Solanum lycopersicum: one gene and its partners. The protein of the gene in region 3 binds, or shares a complex with, the protein of the main gene of each other region. Links are inferred from orthologs where the notes say so. Each region holds a gene or a part of one and is shown on either strand. Other genes may lie near its edges.

Region 1 (8,159 bases), on a different chromosome or scaffold from region 3:
TGTACACAAGTAAACAAACGTGTCTTATGTGGAAGGATACAAGGTAGGATTCTACGTGGGACGTATGTTTTTATTTGTTCAATTTTTATACAAATTTAAGTATCTACTTATACACAACTATATTTATAGGATATAATTAAAAATTAAAGCCAAACAAAAAACACGTTTTTGAAAAATATTCAGAAACCAATATTGATGAATATTCCCTATCATATAGTAGAGACTAAAGCCTTTCATTTAAAATTTTAAATTAAATAGAATCTTTGACCGATAAATAAAGAAAAGAATAAAAGCTGAAATGGAAAATAATTTATTTCTCCAAATATTTAATTTGATTATATTCCATCTCTCAAGTTTTCTTTTATTTTTTGCATTTTTTCTAAGATGAAGGCGGAATTTGTATACAATGTAAAAAGTAAATATCATTTGACGTTGACATTCAAATTCATAATACCAAAAACACGATCAAATAATTAATGTAAAAGTTATTTACACGTTCACATTCCGTTTTCAATTATCACTTGTTTTAAACGACTTGAATATCATTTTCACTGGTGCTAGTTACCAAGCTTTAGTCTACAAAGTTTTAACCTTAGAAAAAATATTTATCCAATCAGACATGATCAAACAATCATATGGAAACATATCTTTAGTACTTAAAAGCTCATTGTTTCTTCTTTAAATTTCTTGACAAATCAAACTATAAGTAGAAGATGTAGTTTAGAATATAAAAATATAACATACTTTTTAAATTAAATAAAAAAAAATATGTCATATAAATTGAGACAGATGAAGTAACAATCAAGAAACTCGAAGCTCTATTGCTTAGAGTGGATTGTATGTGGATGGCATCATGGGAAGATACACTATATTATAAAGCTAGACCTAATTGACTCCACTATCTACCATTTATTGAAAGTTACATTGCACCTTTTTACTTGTGGACCTAATTCGAATGTAGGTTAAAAGGACGGGAAAATACACAATGTGTCCGGAAGGCGAATTGCATGCAAAATATACTTGACTTTCATAATAAAATATTATTTGATGAAAAATATACTTGACTGTTATAATAAAATGTTATTATTTGATGCAAACTATACTTAATTGTTATAATAAAATGCTAACATAGAGAACGTATCTTAGTTAACTAATTACCTTCATATCTTTCAAGTTCTTTTTTTTTTCATCTTCATATTTCACCCTCCTCCCAAGTCTCATATATGCCAATTAAAATTAAAATAAGTTTAGGAGGTACTTGTGCCTCATCCCAACAAGAAAAACTCTTCCCACCGCAAAAGTTCCATCAGTTGTATCTAAAAGATTTAGTTTGCATTGCACAATGCTAGTTGTTTTTATCCATCAGGTGAACAAAATCGAACCAAAAACCACATCAAACCACAAACTGAGTCAACCATGTGACATATCCATGTAAACAACTTAAACAAGTAGAGATACTATCCACAAGAACAAAGGAGTGGATATATGTAAAAGTTAAAACCCAGCCTTTGCTTTGTGAAGTATAATTTTCCTAGTGAAAAGGGAGAAACCATCTCATATCCGAGTCAAATACTCTAGAATGCAGTATTATCGCTTACATCTACCAGATAAACCAAGAAATTTCTAAATTGTCTTCGACACGCGTTCAATCCGTATATAACACGTTTTATTATGGGTTGCAAACAGGTTAACCCATATTTGCTGTCCAGATTAACATTGTCAAGAGAACACTTGTAATTCAATTGTACTGCACCAGAAACCATCAACATAATATTACCTCAAAGTTCCATATAAGGGATGAGAAACCATATTCAAGGACTTCATTAGACTAAAGTAGTAGCACACTGGGCCTACTCAATAATAAGCTATTGCTGGCTGGCATGCATTTCTCCAGCATGAGAGAAGAGAAATGGGTGTTTCGATGGTATTACAATTCCAAGGTTTAGCTCCTTAAACTACCACATGAACTACTATCAGCTTCAGCAGCACAACAGGTGACAGCAAGAGTAAGCTGATGAGTGATTGCCTGCAGGAAGAACTAAAATTTCTAATTTTGTTTTGTTTTGGGGTGCACCAGATTGCAGTATACAACTGCCAAGCTCCATTATTGAAACTGCAATCAGCAATTAAACAGGGTTGACTTCTTTTCTAAACATAGGATGTAGTCTAATTCCAGGGATGATCACCTACAAGTGTGGTTGTGAAATTAGATTCCACAAATAGGATGCAACATAGCTTTTATAGGATGATTAAAGAACCAACGCATAATCAGAATATTTTAACACAAAGTAATATGTTCAGTGTAATGCTCCTATAGAACCCAAAAGCCATTCTTAAATTTAAAGAACTGACATTATCAAGATAATGGAAGAAACACATCATATGCTCAATAGGAGTATTACCCAATTTTCCGCTTAAGCATATATAAGTTTAATGAGTCGTCACAAAGTCGCAATTAGGTCAATTTGACCAACCAGAATAAAGTATAAGCACAATACTTGATTTTACATTGGAGAACTATGTGTTAAGTAAATAGGAAAGAGTACATCTTGTCGAGAAAAGGACACACGGCATAGTTTCAAACTGAAACTCATAAATATATATGGGGAAGCACTTCACTTGACCAAAACGAGAAAAGAGATGAGTGATAACATGAAATCCTTGGAATTCCGTTAATGAAAGTGATACAGCTAATATAATTTTGTGTGCTGCACTTAATTTCAGGTCTATAGATCTAGGTTGTACCGATTCTTAAGTGTCACACCACCCAATTCAAGCCAAATGGATAAAGTTCCTCTTTTGTTAGTTTTCTGGAAAGACAGTAGGCCCTTGAGAGTCAGTACCTGCAACTTTGAGGACACGGAATTGGAACAGTCGAAGGGGAAAGAATAACTACAAAGGCAAAGGTGATTATAGGAATTCGTACAGGCTAGCCGAGGAGAGGGACCGTAACCTTGCCCAAGTGAAGTGCATCAAAGACCATAAATACTCCTCCCATTTACCATAGATTATAGGCAAAGGTTCATATACTTAGACCACACTAGAGAAGTTGCTCCTTCATTTATCATCAAAATCTGAAGTTCACATGTCAATATGGTGATTCGAATTCTTCACTCCATTGATAACCCATTACTGCTATAAGTGTGCATTGGCAATCTTCCAGTCACCTATCACCAGATGTCTGAGCTAAGCCTAAAAAATTAAGCAATTGAAACCACAAACGAGGGCATCCCAAAAGAGTTCAAAGGCAGGCTGCTTCCTTTCTGTTTTGGTTACTTGGTTTGGGAATAAAATTAGTTCTACATTTATTTCTTAAAGAAATTTGATCCTAGTGAACCCAACAAATGTGTAGTTGATCTCTCGCAAAACTTTAGCACTATGTTTTCTGACATGAGAAAGAAAGTACAGGTCATTGATCATGCTTGAGACTTGGGAAGGACTCTAAAATTCAATAAACAACAAATCACACTCTTAATAGGATTTCATTAATGTGTTTGCCAATGAGGAACTGCAACACCTATTCGAAAAATGAAATCATGGGGTGCAAAATGTATTACCTTAATTCATAAATTAGTTGATAGGAGGTCTGTGCTATGAGTAAAATAAAATTATCCGTCTTTCCTGCTAAAACAAAATTATCCAAGTCAATAACCATTTCAGAAACATTACGTCACAAATCTAACCCTAAAATATAAAATCATAACAAGAGGGAGCATGCAACAACAAGCATTGACAAAGTTTTCACAGTAAGAGAAAAGTAAAAGAGGAGAGGAAATACTTTCTCTTTCTTCGATCAACAGAAGCATTCCTTGGGTCCGTTTTAGCAAGACCAGATCCAGGAGGGATGGCATACTGCATCGGGGAAAGAGCTGCAGCTGTAACAGGTGTAGGAGCAGGAGGTGGAGCAGTTGGAGGGGCTACACTTGATGGTAGTGATGCAGGTGGAGCAGAACTTGGTGCAGTTGCAGGCTCAGGAAGCGGCCGCGGCAAAATATGTTTCAACCGGTTATTTCTGTAGTTCTTCCAGAAGTAAAATTGCTGCCTATGTGCTACTTCCTAATAGTTGTTACAAACATGTAGATCAGATCCTATCACAGATTTATGTGCCAGAACTTTAGGTTGGCAAACAAAGTGCAATAAATAATAAACAGTGAAATGAGATGAGATGTCCTCGGGGCGAGAATTAACCTCGACAACACGATTAAATAATTATAAGTTTTATGCCTAGAAACTACGGGAAAGTTCAGAAATGGAAATAAGGCTAATGGCTAAGACAATGAAGTACCATGTATTATAAAGTGTTTTGGCAGCATTTTTAGTCCATAGAAACTGTGTTTACAGAAAGTGGGGTGAACCTTCTTTATAGTGGCTGACAGTCTTAACTAACTAAAGAGTATAGCAAAAGTGGAGAAGGAAACCAGGACAACACATGACATAACTTTTTACCTTGTTAGCAGGATGAGCCATTGCATTACGAAATGTTGGATTTTGGAGAAGCTCGAGAAAGAATAGGCAGTGTGGATACCTGCATTAACATCAAGAAAGGAAAACCAATACGATTAGTTAACGATATCCATAGTCCACAGGAAACAGAAAAGGAACAAGGACCATCATCCACTGCATCTAAAAAGTTGCAGTAGAAAGAACATACATAACTATTATCACATATTAATACTATAAACTAACTTACATTATAAACTTTATGTACTCAGGTCGTTGCCAGTACTGAAGGTACTTCAAGTACCCAATAAAAGCTTCATCTTCAAAATATCTGTTCTGAGCCAAATCTGCATCAGAATCAATACAAAGTCCACAAAACAAAACAAAAAATGAAAAAGGGATAGAAAAATTGAAGCTTTTGCAACCCAATATTCATTTTCACACCAACAACATATATAACATAAAACTAACAATAATTGGTAAATACCCAGAAAACATCATGTTTAAATAAGAGAAGGGAATAGATAGATAGATACAGTGAATGTAAGTTGGGTTAGCAAGGCATTGAACAAATTCGAGTTCGAGTAAGAAACGTTGGCGCCCATCATCGGGATCTTTATAGACGCTTTTCTGCCTGCAAATTGGAACAGAAAAAACAGTTGATTAATGTGAATTTGCGAAGATGCAAATTGATTTGAGATGAATTGATTCTGCTTACGGTGATTCATGGGTTTCTGGATTCGATGTAGAAGCCATGCGCTAAACCCTAACTAATTCTACTTTTCAAAGTTAGCCGTTGATTGTATTGCTGCGCTATATATACAAAAGGAAAGTCTGAAATTCATTGCATTTTTAAGATGTAATGTAAAAATGGATTAAATTCATATTGAAATAAAATTTCAGTGTTAAAATGACATCTTGTATTTGATTTTGATCCTAATTTTTATTTGCTCAATATGAGTGTGTCATTAGATTCATTTACTCACCTAGATTATACAGTCGATCAGATTGAAATGGTTAGAAATCTTTTTTTTAAGTGAAGTCATAATTCTCATATGTGATTATACCAGTGTTACTAAAGATGAAAAGCGCAAAAAAGCTCTTACGATCCATGGGGAATTTAAGCGCAAATAAAATGTAAGCTTTGATGAAAAAAGACGCAAAGGGAGGAAAAGAGTATAAGTATGCATGTTTAGTCCAAAACTAATAACTATAAACATGAATATGTCAAATATATGATCAAAGAAATTGAAAATAATTATGACAAAGTGAAATATCAGTGATTTAACTTCACTGTCTCATAAGAGGCTCATTGGTAAGGTGACGTTTGCCTTAGAACATTGGTGAAGACACTAAAGTGCACATAAAGCGACGCGAAGCCCTCAACACGTTTTTGAGTCTCGCTTGCGCGCTTTATATCTAAGTTTTGACCAGTTTTTTATTAGTATGCATGAATTTTTAAGCTTAAATTCGTAGTTATATAAATGTGAAAATTGTGATTTTAGTCCAAGGGGTTAAAAAAAAAAGGGCGATTTTGGATGCAACCTTCATGATTTTGGTTTGGAATAAAAATCTTATATCACTTTTGATATTTATAAGCTTGAATTCAAGTTGACTCTGTTTCGGTTATTTCTCAAAGAAACATGTCTACGGGCCACAACTGAATATATGTGTCATGAAAGAGAGGTGCATAATACCATGCCTAAAATGAGCATGGAAATTGGGGGTTTTGGACCTACAACTACGAAATCATATTTCGATGACCAATGTTTCCAACCAAATTTTAGATTTGTTTACCCTTTATACAATTACCAATTTGGACTACTTCAATTGGTATGTCCATGCTTTTTCCTATTAACAAGACGCTTTACCATACACTACAAAATCTTCATCTCTGTCTATACCAAAGCATTTTGTATCTACCCTAACATGGAGTAATAAATAGTCCTTTAATAAAATTAAACACCATTGGTCTTATTGCATGTAGCTATTAGGATTTGAAGTTGGGGATAAGGAGGTTTAGGAGAGGGGAGCTTAAGAGTGACCAAACCACAACCATACATAATTCAGACCATCTCCAACAAACTGTCTATTTTATTTGTCTTTTCCATTTGCTGCCCAAAATGCAAGCATCTGAGCAAGCTAGCAAAGAAAAAAATTCTCAATCCCCAGAACCTAAAACATCATCCACAGAGTTGAAATTTATGTCAGCTAATGACTTATTTGAATTAGAACATCCTTTGCCCTCAACCAAAGAGAGTAAAACAAGGAGATGCCCTTTTCACAAAGCGAGCTCCATGCTTCTCTAGGGAAGGCTGCAATCCAGCTTAAAATTCACTAGTATGGCCTGTAGCGGATGGACCGTCTGAACCTTGGAACCCTTCTGCAAACAAGATGACAACACAATACTTGTTAACTAAAGTTTGATGTAATCATCAAGCAGGCATCAGCTTGAATTATGTCAAGACAAAACATGACAACGAAAGTGAACATCAAACAAGAGAGTAAAATTTGCACAACTGTTAAGTTATAGCTTATAAAAGTGAAGAGTCAAGGAGGACAACTTAGGAAGGAACACTGTAATCCAGATGAACAAATATCTGAAAATTTATTCTTCCATTAAATCTAGGGAAGTTCAGCTCTCTGTTGAAGGGCATAAAAAGCATTCCCACCAATTTAAGTTCACTTTGATATTAAAACGATTAGTACCAGCCTATCGGGAACTCGTTAGGATAATAGGAAATAAATCCAACTCAACAAATCTTATAAAAAACTTATGTTGGACCAATATAAGTTGACATGTGTTACTGCAACAAAATACCCAACAAGTAAGTTTTAAATTATCCTCATTTAACAGTTAAGTGATACAACACCTATTTTTGGAGTTCTGAAGGTTTACTTTGTATTACTTAACTGGTAGTAGTACAGGGAGCATTGTTGCCAACATTTGCATTAGTGTTGCAAAAACAAAACAGCTGATTTTGGCACATACGACTAGTACAAAAAGTCGGCCGCGGAATGCATTGCTTGTGTTGTGATGCAACGTCTTAAAAAAAAAGTCAAGTGATGCATTTTAGATAGGTATAGGTAACTGTGATTGTGTAAAATGGATTAGACATAAGTCATCTAGTTTATTTCAGTGAACTGCTGACTAGACCCTTCCATCATAAGACGAGACTCTAGGCTCATCTTCCGTAGCACACTGATAAACTTGAAAATAGACTAGTTTGAGTAGCTGAGCTGCTAATCCAGAAGCTTAGGAAATATTTAGTCAAAATACCAACAGAAAGAAGTAACCCCTTCGAAAGAACATTAAACACAATAGTTACCATTTCAGATCAACACAATTACCATGACACATGCTCTGGCTTTACGAGAAACCCAAAATCCTACTTCGTTTAAAGGAAGTGTAAGCCTAGAAACCTAGCCAACCAAAGACAACACAAGATTCCATTTTATTTGGGAGGCAGGAAGCACTGAACTACTGCTCATGTAGGGGCAACAGTGTAGGCCAAACAAACATGTATTGAAGTAGAATATGTGGCAAGTGCAGATCCCATAAGGCATCAGAGTAGGCTGTATCCAAGTTGGCAACCAATTAATTTCAACTTGACTTCCTTCAGAAATTGAGTGATAGATAAATCTATGAAGTTGAAACTGACAGGATACTGGTACCTAAATGAAATTCGCAGAGTAAGGAGATAAGCTGAGCTTTAGCC
Region 2 (8,232 bases), on a different chromosome or scaffold from region 3:
ACCAGATATGTCTAGCACTCCTTCTCTGCTCACTATCTGGTAGCAACTCACATAAAGCTGGTACAAGGCCCTATGTAAGCAGTTGTAGCACAAACATTAAAAAGTATTAGCAACACAAGAAAAAAAAATAATAGAACAATAGTCAGTCCATGTTCTATGCCTAAGTTCAAATCTTCTATCAAGTACTTGAGAAAAAAACTCCAACTATGTTTTGTCTCTGTGTCAACAACAGCCCATGCGATTGGAAACATCTGGTGATTTCCATTTCTACCAACAGCAACCAACAATTCTCCCTTGCAAGAACCCTTCAGAAAACATCCATCAAAACCAATAATTTTTCTGCATCCTTCCAACCACCCCCTCTTCAATGCATCAAAGCAAACATAGAAGTAAACAAACAAAGTTTTTCCTGGCTGAGACTCTCTATCTGTCCTCACCCAACAGGAAGTACCAGGATTAGTATGTTTAATCATGTCTGCATAATCACACAATCTTGAAAATTCCATCTTCCAATCACCTAAGAACTCCTTGATAATCCTTTTTTTTGCCCTATGACAAACAATTCTTCCAACATATAACCCAAATTTTTTTCTCACCAATTCCTGAATTTTCCATAATCTTATATATGGTTGACAGGTTATTTCATCCTTGAACTTTTCTGCAACAAACTTAGATGTACACAACTTGTTCTTGGTCGATTGAGGACATACATGCACAGGATAATAATTTTTGACAACAAAATCACCAGAATCTTTATCTATACTAGCAAACAGCAACCATTTACATTTCTTGTCCTCACATTTAACTCTAACTCTTTTTTTGTCATTAGGCTTCAATTTTAACCTAGTTTTATATTGACAAGAATAGTCTGCAACAGCTTTTCTAAATTGTTCAGCACTTTCAAACACCATACCAAGCTAAAAAATTGCTACAACACAATCAGGATCAAATCTTACCTTTTTACTTTTTCTTGTTCTTGGTAAATCAACACCCTTCACAAATTCTGAATCAAATTCATCCCTACTGTCTTCACTGTCCAATTCTGAGCTATCTATATATTGCTCATCACCCCCTAGTATTCCAGTGTATCTAGCAGTCTTATTCCTTCATATGTCTTCAAAGCCTCTATCAACACCAGCTGTTCCAAGCTTTATTTCCTCAGTTTGACTAGGTTTTTTCTTTTTCACTTTGTTTCTCCTTTCATTTCTAAGAGATCTTAATTCTTCATCAACCTCAGAGTCATCCACATTAGGAATAGCATCCTCTTGAGAGTCATCACTACTTTCTTCATTTGATTCAGTCCATTCCACATCTAGATCTGATATATCTCCTGGCTCAACTTCCACATTAACATTTTCAGATTCAGCCTCATGATTCAACCCTTCACTTGCAGTCACATTTATATCTTCTAAGTCTTCTTCAACGACAGACCCACAAAGCAAACCTGTTGTGACCACTTCTACATCATCCACCACATGCTTTACATAAATGTCTAAAAAGTCACCATCTTTTAGGTCTTTGATGAGATTTACTAATGTTAAATCAATGTCCACCTCAATAAAGCCATTTTTGTGGGGTCTTTAACACAGAACCCACCAACAATAATATACCCCAATTGTTTAGTGTAAAAAAGTAACTCAATTATTGAGAAGTGGTCCTTGTCGATATTAACATATTCCACCTCGACTTTCCCTTTATAAGTAATTCCAGTTTTGTCCTGAATAAACTTACCACCATGATGAAAACGAGTTATAATAATGGCGTCCATAAGATTCCCTGAAACAAGGCTCCAAATTTTTCTGACAGTTATGAACAATAAAAACCAAAAAACCCTAACTTTATCTAGATATTAACAACAACAACCACATTGATACTAAAACCCAGTATATATCAATAAAAACCACAGGATAAACACATATATTAAAAACACACAACCACAACAACATGCTCGTCACTTACCTCACACTCGTCAACTCGAAAATCGCGAATGAACTCCAAAATCGTCTGCAATCTTCGATGATTCCTTCAACAAAACACTCGAAATCACTTTAAAATCTAAGAATTTCAGTTGTAAAAGTCATTGAAAAGGAGAGATTCTTAGGGTTTTCTCGTTTAGAAACGGGTTAAAAGTGATTTGGGGGGGAATTGATTTTTAGGTTTGATGACATAATATGTGGCACTGACGTGTAATTGGGTTGGAGTGTATTGGTCAAAATTTCCACGTGGGGAAGGTTCATCTCACGCGCCTAATTACCAAAAATAATTTATTGAAATTTGACTCCACATCAGCCAAAAATATTTAAAAGGATCAAATTATAGGGGGTTAAAGGATTTATAGGAATCTTGGTTAGTTGAGGTACCTGGGGGAAAAGCGCGAACAACTTTAGGGACCTGCGTATGTATTTGGCCTATTTTTTTTCTTCAAAAATCTTGTATGTATTTATTTTAATATATATTTTATTTGTATTTCTATTTATTATAGTTTTTATTTAGAATTTTGTATAATAATATATAAAACACAAAAAAATTAGTATGATGAAAAAGTGAATGAAATAAAAAATTGAAAAGAAATAATTAAATATTTGGTGTACTCATTCTTAAATAAAATACATAACAGTTGACATACCTTTAGAATAAATACAAATTACAAAAAAAAAAGTCAAATTCAGAAACAATGCAATATAATTTTTGAATGAATACAACTATTAATTGTAAAAATTGACTAATATTATTAAAATATGGATATTATCACTAAATAAGTTGATTTTTTTGACTAGTTAGCTAAATTTCCCTTTTTATTTTTGCTAAAAAAAGACTCCAAGGACATGAGTCTCTCACTTGGGCCCAACATTCAAAACCAAATCCGGCCCAAAACCATGACTGACCCGCCCCACACTATTTCTTCAGACCCCCACGCGCCCCTCTTCTCCATTCAGACCTAAATCGCAGCATCCCTAAAAGACGAAGAACCCTAGTTCGGTGCGGCATCTCTTCATACACTACGCCGTGATTGGCACAATTTCTTGTACCGCTCAAAGATTTTAGAAACTCTTCGATGGTATTGTGTTGTAATTTACCAGAAACTGTGCCTCACTGCGAGTCTACGACCAGCGACATTGCCTGACTTTCACGATTTCTATTGACGGCTTTGCAATCTATCAGCATCTCAGTCTTTTCTTCCAAGTTTCAACTGGTAAGTTTTAATTTTCTGAATTTTAGTGCGACGATTTATGAGTTCCATAAAAATATACTGATTTCTGTTCATCTAGCAAAGTGACCTGTATTGTCATGAGACCTGATATGAATATTTTGTTAGATTGTTTCTATGCAGAAGTTGATATGCACCCGCAGTTAATAGATCTTTGGCAAAACTTTCACTTTTCAATGGTGGCAATACACAGTGATATAGGATGACTTTTAGTTTAGGGAGTGTTATCTTAGAATCACATTAGAACTATCAAGTCAAAATTAGCTCCATTAGGCTTTATTTTTTTTGGTTATTTGACAAGTCACAAGAAGGCTAAAAAAGCCTTGAAAGTTCTTGAGCCTTGGTGAAGAATTGTTTAAGCATTTAATAACTCATTTGTTTACTCCTGCTGACATAACAAGTGTCTGAGGAAATTCATTGTCCCCTTCTTGTTGCTTAGAATGAGTAAGCAGGTTACGTGGCCATACACATTTTTTAACTTGAACTGCTAATTGTTCGATAATCTGATAACTGGTGGCCTCTTCCTACTTTGAACAGCTCAGTTTACCCCCAAAAAATAATGCATTGCATGGGAATCAACCTCTTCAGGCTGCATACTCTAGGGATAGACATCAATTGGTCTGATCTCAAAGTGCATTGGAGCAAACACCTCTATACAATTGTATAACCATTTTTGGTTTCTACTTGGATCAGAAAGTTTGATGTATTTTATTTTCTTTAAATGTTGGACACCAAGAAGTCATGCAAACAGCAACCTATTAGTTTGTTTCTCCTTGGTATCCTACAAGTTGTGGCGATTCAAAGTCCCCTACTTTTTCCTTTCATGAGAATGTAGGCTACGATAACCGGACATCTCTATTCAGTTATCTTTACAGAAGCTACTAATCTATGATAAACTAAACTTGTTGCCTCTATTTTGCTCGTTATGTCCTTCATGCGGCTCTGAGAAATTTGATTGCCTTTTATTTTCTTTAAGCGTTGGACACCAAGAAGACATGCAGACAACAACCTATTAGTTTGTTTCTACTTGGTGTCCTACAAGTTGTGGAAATTCAAAGTCCCCTACTTTCTCATTCTCATGAGAATGTAGGCTACGATAACCCTACATCTCTATTCAGCTATCTGTGTGGAAGGTACTTATCTATGATATAGTGAACTTCTTGCCTCTCTTTTGCCTCTTTAAGAGATACAGCCTTCATGTGGTTCAGGGAAGTTTCATTGGCTTTTATTTTCTTTAAACGCCGGACACGAAGAAGACATGGAAACAGCAACATATTAGTTTGTTTCTCCTTGGTATCCTATATGTTGTGGGTATTCTAAGTCCCCTACTTTCTCCTTCTCATGAGAATGTGGGCTACGATAACCCTACATTTTTATACGGTTAACTTTACAGAACCTACTAATCTATGATATTTTAACCTAGCTGCCTTTTCTTTTGCCATCTACCTCAAGAGTTCCTTCATCTGGTTGACGAAATGTCTTTAGTTTGTTTAGGTGTCGGACTCCAAGAAGACTTGCAACGAATAAACTATTAGTTTGTTTCTCCATGGTATTCTACATATTTTGATGATTCATAGTCCCTTAATTGCTAGCTGTCTTTTCTTTTGCCAGTTCCTTCATCTGGTTGACGAAATGTCTTTAGTTTGTTTGAGCGTCGGACACCAAGGAGACTTGCAACAAATAAACTATTAGTTTGTTTCTACATATTTTGATGATTCCTAGTCCCTTACTTTTTATTCGGAAGTTTTAAGCTCTGATCATTTATGCTTTTGGCCTCAACCTGAAAAACCATTACACATTATCTCATCCCTTGCGTTCTATATAGCTAACAATTAGCATTCACTTGTTGGAAAGAGAATGAGGAATTTGCTGATTGGGAGCTGTATTGTTGGAAAGTATGAAGTTTTGATAGACTAAAAGATAGAACCACAGTTGTATTAGATGGGAAGAGCTGTTTCTATAGCAGGAATTTGAGTTATTCTTTTATAGAGTAATTGTGCTGAAAGTCTGTCCATTAGAAAGGCTTGTGCATTTCTTTGTTATGTTGGAAATGATACTGAGTATGTTTTCTATTGTGATTCTTTCTAGTCTTCTGTGAATACTTCTCTCTTTCTACTTTTCTTTGTAGTTGTTTCGTCCTCCCAGAAACTTAGGTTTCTATCTCTTCTAATGCATTTTCCTCTTTGGTTGTCCACGATCCACTTTCTTGTTTTTATTGTTTCACAATTATTTTGACATGAATACTATAGTTCTCCAGATGTGTACTGGTTTTTTGGTTTTGGGCTTTTGGCTTCCATTTTAGGATTTTAATTTTTTTTGAAACAATTACCATGTTTTTATTTGGTCAACTGATAGTTTCCCTGTTTATTATTAAACATACAAGAACTGACTTACAAAGTTGAAATCTTTCCAATCTACATAGTCGAAGACACCTTGGCTTTATTTTTGCACAGCAGTTTTCCAACTTTTGAAGATAATCTTCCACAAAGAGCAATTGGATGGGGTGAAAAGGCTTGATAGAAAAAGGATGGAGTGGAAAGGATAATTGTATATGGCACGTTCTCTTCCCTTTATGGAAGAAGTTGGCTGTATAGGTTAACGGCAATATATTTATCAAACTACTGAAGTAGAAGCTACATATTTTGTGTCTTAACATAAAAGACTTTCCTGAATCTGAAAGCATTGGAACTTCAAAGTCATTATTCCCATCCCCCATCCCCCATTCCTACCTTTTCTTGATAGAAGAGGGAAATCCACTACCTGTCACTTAAACTATATATATGCACTTAACAGACTTTGCTGTGCTTGCATGTCAAGATGGATAGATCACATCGAAACCCCTAAAGTCTGAAAAAAAATGATGACAGAAAATATTGAGTGATGGTTTCTTATATCCAATTGTCCTACAAAATTTTTCTGTTGAATATATTCCTCCTTCAATGTGGAAAAGGAGGTTATAATCACACGTACATCCTCTTAGTGTGTCGCTGTATAATTTTGTGAAATATGGAATAGCTGTAGAGACTCTTCTCTTTTTTTCAATTTGTGGGTCCTTTGTTCATACAATACAATTGGACAAAAAAGGAATGCAAAAAATACCAAGTGATTGTTTGTTGTATCCTGTTGTCCTACAGCATATGAGTGATGAACAGTCTCCTTCTTTAGAGTGGAAAAGGAGGCTACAGTTACTCAGACAACCTCTTTACATGTTGCTATAATTATCTATATGGAATAGCTGTAAAAATCCTTTGCCCCCTCATTCTGGGGGTATATTGTCCGAGCTGTACAGTTGGACAAAAAATACAGAGTGATTGTTTGCTGTATCAAGTTGTCCTATAAAGTTGAGTGATGAACGGTCTCCTTCTTCAAAGTGGAAAAGGAGGCTACAATCATTCGTACGTCCTCTTAGCTTGAGGTTCTGGTTCATTTTTGCTTTCCTTCGCTACTTTATGTACTTGTTCCTTGTTTTATGGGGTTCTTGGTAGGATTTTAATTCTGAAGCACGATAGTAGATATCACTTGCATGTTTAAAGCTAGGTGATGTCAAAATGAGTTTGTTGAGGTGACCGTTGAGACTTTGGAAATATGATGTGATGAATTGTTGTTATTGAACCGTCTTTTATGGTTACTGGTTGAGGTGGACTCTCACTCAGTTCTTTTTTCCAAAAATGAAAACAGCACCTCATCCACGGAGCATAATTGCCAATAATAAAACCTCCCAAGGTTCAGACTTGCATAAATGCAGCAATCAACACTATCATCACACACGTCGGCGGTACAAGGAGCTTCAGCTGCGGAGTCCAATGAGATGAGTGGAGATGCGCCGCCAAAGCAGGTGGCAATGGCACTGGAGCGACTGGGGCAGGCGAGTCGACTCATAGCTGATATTAGAATTGGCGCAGATCGGCTGTTGGAAGCCCTATTTGTGTCAGCTCAGCGGCAACACTCTTCTAAACCTTTGCATCTTATCCACAAAGAAGAAGCTTCCATGAGACAACACCTTCAAGAGCTTCGCTCTGTTGGAAGACAGTTAGAAGATTCTGGTGTCCTCAATGATTCCCTCCGATCACGAAGTAATTCATGGGGCCTCCACATGCCTTTGGTTTGTCCTGATGGTGCTGTTGTTGCATATGCATGGAAGAGACAACTTGCTGGTCAGGCTGGTGCATCTGCAGTTGATAGGACCAGGTTAGCTCTCAAGGCCTTCAATGGTCAGAAAAGACGATTTTTCCCCCACCTTGATACCAATTATGGTGGGGAGGGTGTGACAAAGAAACTTCGTGGTCCTCCATCAAGTGATCAAGAAGAAACTTGTGAACTGAAATCAGTGTCTGAAGTTTTGACACATCTGAAAAAGGAGGTCTCAAATGTAATAACATTCTCTTACCGGCGTTTGGATTGGTTGTTGCGAGCTACCTCATTGCCCTCTTCGACCAGTGAAAATTCTATTGAATTATCAAAAGAGAGTACTTTCCAAAGCACGAGAACATTAAGACAAGGATCATCTGATGATGATGTTTCAGACAAGGTTGCTATAATCGAATTGTTGATTCCTTCTGTTTTTAGAGCCATAGCATCAGTTTCCCCTGCTGGTTCCTTGGATCCCGACGCTGTAGCATTCTTCTCGCCAAACGAGGGTGGTAGCTACATTCATGCGAGGGGATTCTCCGTTCATCATGTATTTAGGCACATCACGGAGCATGCTGCTATGGCTTTACAGCATTTTACAGGTGTTGGTACTGAGTCACCCTTGCTTTCTTTGCTGCTGTGGGTTTGCAGCTATCAGACTTTGTTCTCGAAAGCTTGCAGCAAGTGTAGCCGTCTACTATCAATGGACAAAGAGTCTGCCATGCTACTGCCCCCTGTTAATCGCCCTTACCGAAACTTTTCTGCTGGAAAATTCTTGTCAAAAGAGGAGCCAAGTGTGGATTCTAGTCAGTGTTTTCACATCGACTGCTTTTCTGAGGAAGCATAGAAAAATCAGCTCCATTGTACAAAGAAATTCCGAACCTATAATGTAGTAT
Region 3 (7,720 bases):
TAAACTAGAGGATGAGAAACGGTACATTTTTGACACACGCGGTTGATGCTGATCACGTTGAACATCAGGCACAGCATACTGAAGGATCATCCATTAGTAGGAAGAAAGAATTCACATCAAACTGGGAGATGGTTTGAAATCAGTCTCTCGAGTTATAGCAGCATAATCATTGAGGAACTTAGAGATACACATGCATCAACAATCTTATGTGATATGCATACACTGACCGCTATGCCACCATAATCAAAATGGCTTAATTGGACCACTAGTGGCCTTCTGTCGTTGAATGAACTAGGAGTCCTCCAAGGCAAGTCTTGTGAGTACACTGAATCTGTAGCAAGGTTTGAGAATTTCAGACATTGGACAACTGACTCGGACATTTAGATACTCAACACCAATGTCATTGCAATCAACATAGAAGCGTTTATCATCCATGATTAATCTTCCGGCAAAGGGATAATAAAAGGCCAATACTTTTGAAAGGGAGTATTCAAGAATCTGGCTTTACATTGTTTGCTGCAGGTTTAGCGTGTGATCGCTGAGAGAGAAGATTGTGATGTATATGCAAAGCAGGGGTGGGAGAGGAGGACTTGATGTTCTTTTGTGAAATAATCATCGATAACACCATTCAGAAGTACTAGTTTGCAAGTCTTAAGGTTTAAATTCCTGCAATATAATGTAGAAGGAAGATAGTAATGGTTGAAGAACAGTAAAAATAATTATATTATATCACTTGTATGTTCTACGCATTCTTTCTTTGTAATAGTAATTGTTAAACAGGTCAATATGAGTACTTTTTGAATTAATATAATCGATAATTGTACAAGAAGGTTGACTTCATATATACTTTGTTAGATTATATCATTTGTCACACTTCCATCTCATTCTTTAAGTACCAACAGGAAGTTTTATATATGATATCATTCCATACTGACATTGAGACTGTTTTGAGAAGTGATATAAATCTTACAGCTGTGGCTTATAATAATAAATTCTTTTTAAAATCAATGATTTCTATTTTAGATGTTCCTCTACATATTGAAATAGCGCCTTCCTTTCTTTTCCAAAAGCTATCAATTTACCATAGGAACTTCGATAAGACTCATTCAATCTTCTCTAGTGACTTTGGGACCATTCCATTCATTGTCTTCGTCCTATTTCTTATTCCTTATGACAAGAGTCTGTCTTGCCTCTATGAACATCTTTTGTAAGTGGTAGAAACGTCAGCAAAAGTTAGGTGGGTATCTAGATCTAGGAGTTCAAACAATCTTTAATTTGGTTCTCTATAGCTAATGCTACAATTTCGTTGTTTATTTAGGAGGGTTTACTTCAACTGTACTAACACCCCTTTGTCCTTCCCCATTAATAAATCATGGTTCTTAATTAAGGAAACAGAACTGTTAAAAGATTGAAGTAAACGAGACAGAAAACTACGATTTGAACCAGAGACCATCTTAATTAGTTCAAAGTTTTAATTTTGTCCTATAGGCTTCTTTGTTAAAGTAACCGAAGATAGTGAAGCAAAGCACATAATTTACAAATCCAGTCATCATTCATTCCATCTGGGTTATTCACAATTCATGCATCAATAACGTTTCAAACAGATAAAGTTATCTTGCAAAAATTCCACCCAATGGCACTTACAATTTTACTAATAAATAGATAGAATCGGTTTTACTCGCCGAGGAAAACTCAAGAGAATAGCGCACAAAGAAATCAAGCACAAGGAGACACGGTCTAAGAAACTGAACCAGAAACTATTGCAATATCTGAGCTAGTCGACTCTAGGACAATTTGGCACAAGTATAACCAGGAGGATTACAGAGAAACACTTGTATAGGACCTTCAACGCAAAACAAGCCAAGGCAACCCACACACCCTGCCACTCATTTATTAAGACCAACAACTACCGCAGCAACCATAGTCACCAGAAATAACAGGGGAGGGTGAGAGAGACATTTCAGAAGCAAATCTGATTACTTGACGTCTACTTGGAGCAATGGGATTGCCCTCATATAAACAACAGGTGTGTCATTATTATACATAACTACAACCCCAGAAAAACTCTGGTTTAGGAAGATAAACCTAATATATTCAACCCATTGGACAAAAGAACTTGGTCCAAGTGGGTGGATTTTTTCTTAGTTCCTAAATTTGATGACCATTTCCAGAAAACTGGGTTTCAATCATCTTGACTTCTTTCCGAAACTTCTCTCCGTATACCAGTGAAAGTAAGATCAGACAATATACCAATTACCCAACTTCAGGACCAGCCTCGCTACTCACACTGATCTTTAAGGTATAGTACATGACCAGAGTGACAAATCCACAATAAGCTGGCAGAGTCAAAGGTGTTTGTCTCCATGTGCTGAACCATTTCTGTTCACAGAAGTTGGAAGAACCACTGTTAGTGAACTACTCCAATGCTCTATACAACTCTAACCCAACTCCCACCACACATGGGACAGCCACATGCCCACTCTTCCAATGCTCTATACAACTCTAACCCAAGTCCCACCACACATGGGACAGCCACATGCCCACCGGCTGATCCACCATACTTCCTTCTCATGTTGATTGGCAGAAGGGTTGCCACCTGGTGAAGCAAAAGCTGAAGTCTGTCTCAAACATCTTATGCACTGCAATAGAAGTCAACACTGTAAGTTGAGAACTAAACTGAAACTATGATCAAAATTTCCTGTTGTGCTACTCTATATCAATGAAGTATCGACATTGCAGCAACGAAAGTTATAGGAATAAGACTATGTTTACAAACCATCTGCTCTTAAATAGAAAAAAAAAATTATATTGAAAAGTAATGCCAAGTGCAATTAAAACTAAATCTGGAAGAAGAATAGAGTTCGAGTGAAGCTTTTTTCTTTGTTTTGCTTTTCCCAAATTATCTCATTGGGCAGATGTTACAATACAGTGATTGACTGACTATTTCATCGGAAAAGCCAAGGACCGATCAGCAAAACAACACATGATGTGGCCTACACACTAACTTCCATTAACTGATCAACATTAAGTAGATTCAACACCAACATACAAGTTGACCTCTGCAGCATTAAACATATGCACCTATGAAAATCTAATACTAGATTGTATACATGTGTCATACATAGAGGGTAGAAAACTGAAATATAACAATTATCATTTGTTTAATGAACAATAAAACCTTTTGATCTTAATAAACCTAGCATTTAAAAATCACTCACCATAGAAAGAGTTAACATTTGGAAATCATTAATAAACTTTTGTGCAACACAGGTAGCAAATATAACATTTATGACATAAAAATACCTCCCAACTCAAATGCAGAATGAAGAGAGCAAATCCCTAGACATTTTCTGGAAATGAAATGAAAGTCATAGCATACATAGACATATGGGAAACTAAAATACCACAACACCAAAACAAACATTGATCATTGTTTAGACGAAGGAATTAAAGCAATTTCAAATAACATCTTGTTATAATTTCAACAAGAAAAATATGTCGACTTTATCCAAGTTAAATTTGTGCATAATAAACGTTAGGATTGACTTCTGTTGTTCACACGTTAGGGACACCGACCTAGTTATTTCTCTCCAATACACAATCCAACTTGCTTAATTATAACATTATGCCTTCATGCAAAGAGATGCCATAGAAAATGAATAAAAGCAAAAAACTGAATCAAGTGATATATAGAGATCCAAAAGTCAGACAAACCTTGTACCAAACCCCTTCAAGCCCAGTCTTCCAAACAGCTGTCACAACATCTCGTCGAGATCCCATTATACCAAGATATGCACCCAGCCCCACTGAAGTATTCAGCCCAAAAGCAGCATCTCTTTCAGACATCCTGCGTTTCCTAGGCCACAAACCATGAGCTCCATAATATACATCACAGTTTTCTAATGAGCTGTACTGTGTCAAATCCCTTGATGGGCTAAGCTTAGAATTGTCATCCACATCTTCTGGATCAGACCAAGGTCCACCAAACATATTTCTCCTGTGCCATTCCTCAGCAGGTGGATGGAGTTCTAACTCACGCAATAGCAGCCCAGCAGCATCTGCACCTCTAGGCCTAGGCATATTCTGCAAGAAAGGGGAATGAGATAAGTGTCTAAGGATTATGGGGATTTCTACCCATCCCTACATGAGTTGTCTTTTTCAAGTTGTTTGCTGTTCTTTTTCCTGTCAAGGAGATTTGAAGTACCAAAAGTGGCCCAATGAGCTCAACAAATATAAACAGCTGAACTCCCCCCACCCGACAAACATTTTTCTTTCACATCTTATTTTCTTGTAGTGCACATAATTGAAAAAGGATGACCCGATATGAGGTTTATGAATGTTAGGAAGGAGCTTCAAGTGAACTACCTGCATGTGAGGTCCCAGGGAAGCTTCAACTACTTCCGGCAATACAGTATAGTTCCCATCAATATAATGAAGGCGGACCTGAATGTTGTTGCTCCCAACCTGAGAAACTGGCAGCGGATGTACCAAACCAGCAGTCCGGCGACAAAGATCCATCAGAATAAGAAAAAGGACCTTCACCTGCAATATAATATCAAATTAATCAATATTCTATCCACAGGATGAAACACTGCCATCTTTCCAGATATCAATAGCCATCCAAATCCACGTTTCACTACTTCATTACCTTCTAAAACAATTATTTTTTTACTTTCTCACAAGGGCTTCCTTTCATCAATATGAAACTTTACATCCACAAAACGTATGGCCTTGACTAATCAACAACTTCGAAAATAAGTATGCATACCGATGAGCCATTTCATAATTCCTCGACAATAACCAACAATCTAGAAAAAAAATGCCTAAATATCAATTATTAGATAACAGTACAAGACTATAAGGAAGAGCTTGTTGATTCAAAACTTCTCAAAGTAAGATACTTACATTAGCAATTAAAATTGAGTTGTCAGAGTGATCAACTAAACTGAAAAAGATTCTCATTCACTACATAACCATTCGAAAATCAGAGAAAGAGATAAAGTAAAGGGACAAAAAAAATTAAATTCATTCTTGAGCTCTCATCATTTTCTAGCTTGCCCATAGTTGTTGCTTTCATGACTTAGATAGCTCAAGATTTCTTGTTCAGATTCTTAGCCAGTTCTTTTTGGCTTCTTAACTCAATATTGAGAACTAGCTCTTTCCTCTTCATGAACTGATAAAATCACTAAAAGTTTCTCAAATATTTTTCATTCTGATAATTTGTATCAGCTGCTGAACCATAGTGGTTATTTATTACTGTCCATTTATCTCTCAGACAGGACGACTGAATAATACATTTAGAGATAACATGGACCTCCTCACCTGAATAATCAGCCTGCTTGCTATATCATAACAAGAATAAGTTTCCGACCAGCTCGATAGAACAGTGGAAGAATCCATTTAGAGAATATAAAAGATCCTGTTTGACAGAGACTTTCCCATCTGGACAGCCTGGCTGTCTCATAACAAGTAACCAACCAACTTCAAGAATTTCTTTCCCATGAATTTTCCCAATCTGATTTGAAAGTGAACTTCGCAATCTCATTACACAGCATATAATGGTGTTTAAGTTTGAATCTGCTCTTTCATTGATTGGAAGTTTCTTCCACTCCTTGGTGCAGTTCATTGGACAGCGATAAGTTGGCATCTTTGCCAACTTATGCTACCTTTTAATGATAAATTCATTCCCATTTGCAAGATTAATGGACTAATAATGGTTTGGATGACATAATTCCATTTTTGGGAGCCTTTGAAGAGAATAAGGATTAGAATAGCTTCCAATACTTGATAAAATTGGACATGAAGACCAAAAGTTGAAGAAAAATTGGTTAAAAGAGCAAAGGGAAAAATCTGAGTAGGCCACGTAGCTGACCCATGTAGTTGGCCTCACCCATGCAGCCAAAGAAAAAAAAATAGCTTCTGGAAGTATCCAGGCAGCTGAGAAAGAAGGGTGTTTTTGCCATACTTTTGGGTGACTTCAAATAGAAACCTAGGCAATTCTTTTGTTTTCAACAGTGAGGAATATATCTTAAATCATCAGTCTGCTGCCCCTCATAATGCACCAAATTCTGAGACTTGGATACCACTAGGAGTCTCCGGCTATTCTGAAACCACCAATTTGGTGCTACATGGAAATTGAGAATTATTCTAAAATGGAGTGATAAAAGTATAGCAATCCAATACAAAGAACAGTTCAAGGAGAAACAAGAGCAACTGGTAAATTAATAGTTTATAAAGTTTACCTCCTCATATGTGTATCCTTGACCAGCATTTCCAGAACCAATCCTAGACCGTTTAGATGGACCTTCTTCAGACCCCTTTGCTCCTGTTCCAACCTGACCGCCTAGCGTTGGTTTTGCACCAGAGTTGGAATCTTCTGTTTTGCCTGGAATACCGGACTGAGGTTTTTGCATTGAAGAATCAGCATTCCTTTGAGCAGCCCCCATAAAACGCGGTAATTGTGTTCCACGGAAGAAAAAACAGAAATGCAGAAGTTGACATAGCCGATGAAGAAAATGGCAGTCCCCTATAAGCCTAACAGCCGGAGTTCCAGGGAAAGTGCCAGTGTTGATACTTATCGGCATAAATGTAGAAGGACCAGTGATGGGGTTTGGGGCTGAACTAGGAACACTGTCGGCTGTACTGCTAATTTTTGCTATAGCTCCTTGTACCCAAGCTTGCATCTGAGTGCTCCCAGCAGAACTTGCAGTACCACCCTGAGCACCTGAAAAGAAGAGGCCCCTGGTTTAGCTCAGAGAAGAGATGTGGATTCTTGGATCCAGGAAGGGATATACCTTAACAGCACATAACAGAGAAGCAAACAAACTAACCCTGGGAAGTGGCAGGAGATGAAGCACTTTGAGTAGGACTAGTCACCATACTCCTACTCCCACCTGTACCTGCAGTAACAGCATGACTAGCCAATGTACGGCAGAAACTTGCATAGCGCCGTAAGCGCGTGATGAAATGAGACGCCAGATCCAGTATCGCATCTACATATGCCTGAATTAAATCATCCCAATACTTGAGAAACTCAAACACTGAACGCAGAAATAGACGTCCTTGGTTACACATACAGAAAGGTGATGATCACCAAGACATCTATCCAATAGCGGGAAACCAGTGGGTGGAGGTACATCGGACAAGTGTAAGAAAATACCTGGATACTTGGCACAAGTGATGGTTCAACAGCCATCGCCTCAGGATCAATACCAAACAGTGTCTCGCTAGAAGCTTGCCATGGCTCCGGAACCAATGCTGATGGGTTTGTTAAAGCTGATTCGATTCCCTTGCCAAGCATATCTAGCAACAATCTTGCTTGCATGTCAAGCACCATTGCCCGGACTTCTTGAGCATTTGTACCTTCTAGAAGCCTGCATTTTATCCTGTCTAGACTCTGCATTATACGGATGAGATATATCAACATTCAACGATATCCAAGAACAGGAGAACTCATAATACATTCCTGAGAATGAACTTTGATGAAATCATGAAATAAACACACAGTTTTAAAATTCAAGAACTACTTGTATGTATGTATGCATGCACAGATTGAATGATAGAAAAACATGATCCAATATCTGATAAGTACATACATGACACAAACACAAAGACACAATCTTCCACACAACACACTATTAGACTAGTATATGATCGAGAGAAACAAAAATTAGTTACATTGCCATCTATCGTAATAGAGGAAGTGTTGTAATTCATATGT

Evidence for each region. Proteins that work in one complex are often made in the same cells at the same time.
Region 1: mediator of RNA polymerase II transcription subunit 16 (region 3) and mediator of RNA polymerase II transcription subunit 31 share a complex: the UniProt entries of both Arabidopsis thaliana proteins name them as parts of the mediator complex. The link is inferred for Solanum lycopersicum from reciprocal best matches to the Arabidopsis thaliana genes SFR6 and MED31.
Region 2: mediator of RNA polymerase II transcription subunit 16 (region 3) and mediator of RNA polymerase II transcription subunit 27 share a complex: the UniProt entries of both Arabidopsis thaliana proteins name them as parts of the mediator complex. The link is inferred for Solanum lycopersicum from reciprocal best matches to the Arabidopsis thaliana genes SFR6 and AT3G09180.

Annotation. Positions count from the first base shown.
Region 1 is NC_090802.1:52,517,091-52,525,249, forward strand, and holds mediator of RNA polymerase II transcription subunit 31, read right to left. Parts: upstream 5,351-8,159; 5' UTR 5,197-5,350; coding exon 5,159-5,196; intron 5,075-5,158; coding exon 4,977-5,074; intron 4,788-4,976; coding exon 4,691-4,787; intron 4,526-4,690; coding exon 4,447-4,525; intron 4,057-4,446; coding exon 3,779-4,056; intron 3,625-3,778; coding exon 3,609-3,624; 3' UTR 3,558-3,608; intron 3,386-3,557; exon of another isoform or gene 2,642-3,385; intron 2,187-2,641; coding exon of another isoform or gene 2,183-2,186; 3' UTR 1,650-2,182; downstream 1-1,649. Other genes in the region: polyadenylate-binding protein 1, read right to left, coding at 6,778-6,823. UniProt on the Arabidopsis thaliana protein: Component of the Mediator complex, a coactivator involved in the regulated transcription of nearly all RNA polymerase II-dependent genes.
Region 2 is NC_090800.1:77,927,316-77,935,547, forward strand, and holds the start of mediator of RNA polymerase II transcription subunit 27, read left to right. Parts: upstream 1-2,882; 5' UTR 2,883-3,193; intron 3,194-6,886; 5' UTR 6,887-6,947; coding exon 6,948-8,183; 3' UTR 8,184-8,232. UniProt on the Arabidopsis thaliana protein: Component of the Mediator complex, a coactivator involved in the regulated transcription of nearly all RNA polymerase II-dependent genes.
Region 3 is NC_090801.1:59,365,104-59,372,823, forward strand, and holds the end of mediator of RNA polymerase II transcription subunit 16, read right to left. Parts: intron 7,397-7,720; coding exon 7,160-7,396; intron 7,003-7,159; coding exon 6,831-7,002; intron 6,725-6,830; coding exon 6,243-6,724; intron 6,125-6,242; coding exon of another isoform or gene 6,086-6,124; exon of another isoform or gene 4,861-6,085; intron 4,809-4,860; exon of another isoform or gene 4,649-4,808; intron 4,543-4,648; coding exon 4,366-4,542; intron 4,084-4,365; coding exon 3,715-4,083; intron 2,640-3,714; coding exon 2,493-2,639; 3' UTR 1,739-2,492; downstream 1-1,738. UniProt on the Arabidopsis thaliana protein: Component of the Mediator complex, a coactivator involved in the regulated transcription of nearly all RNA polymerase II-dependent genes.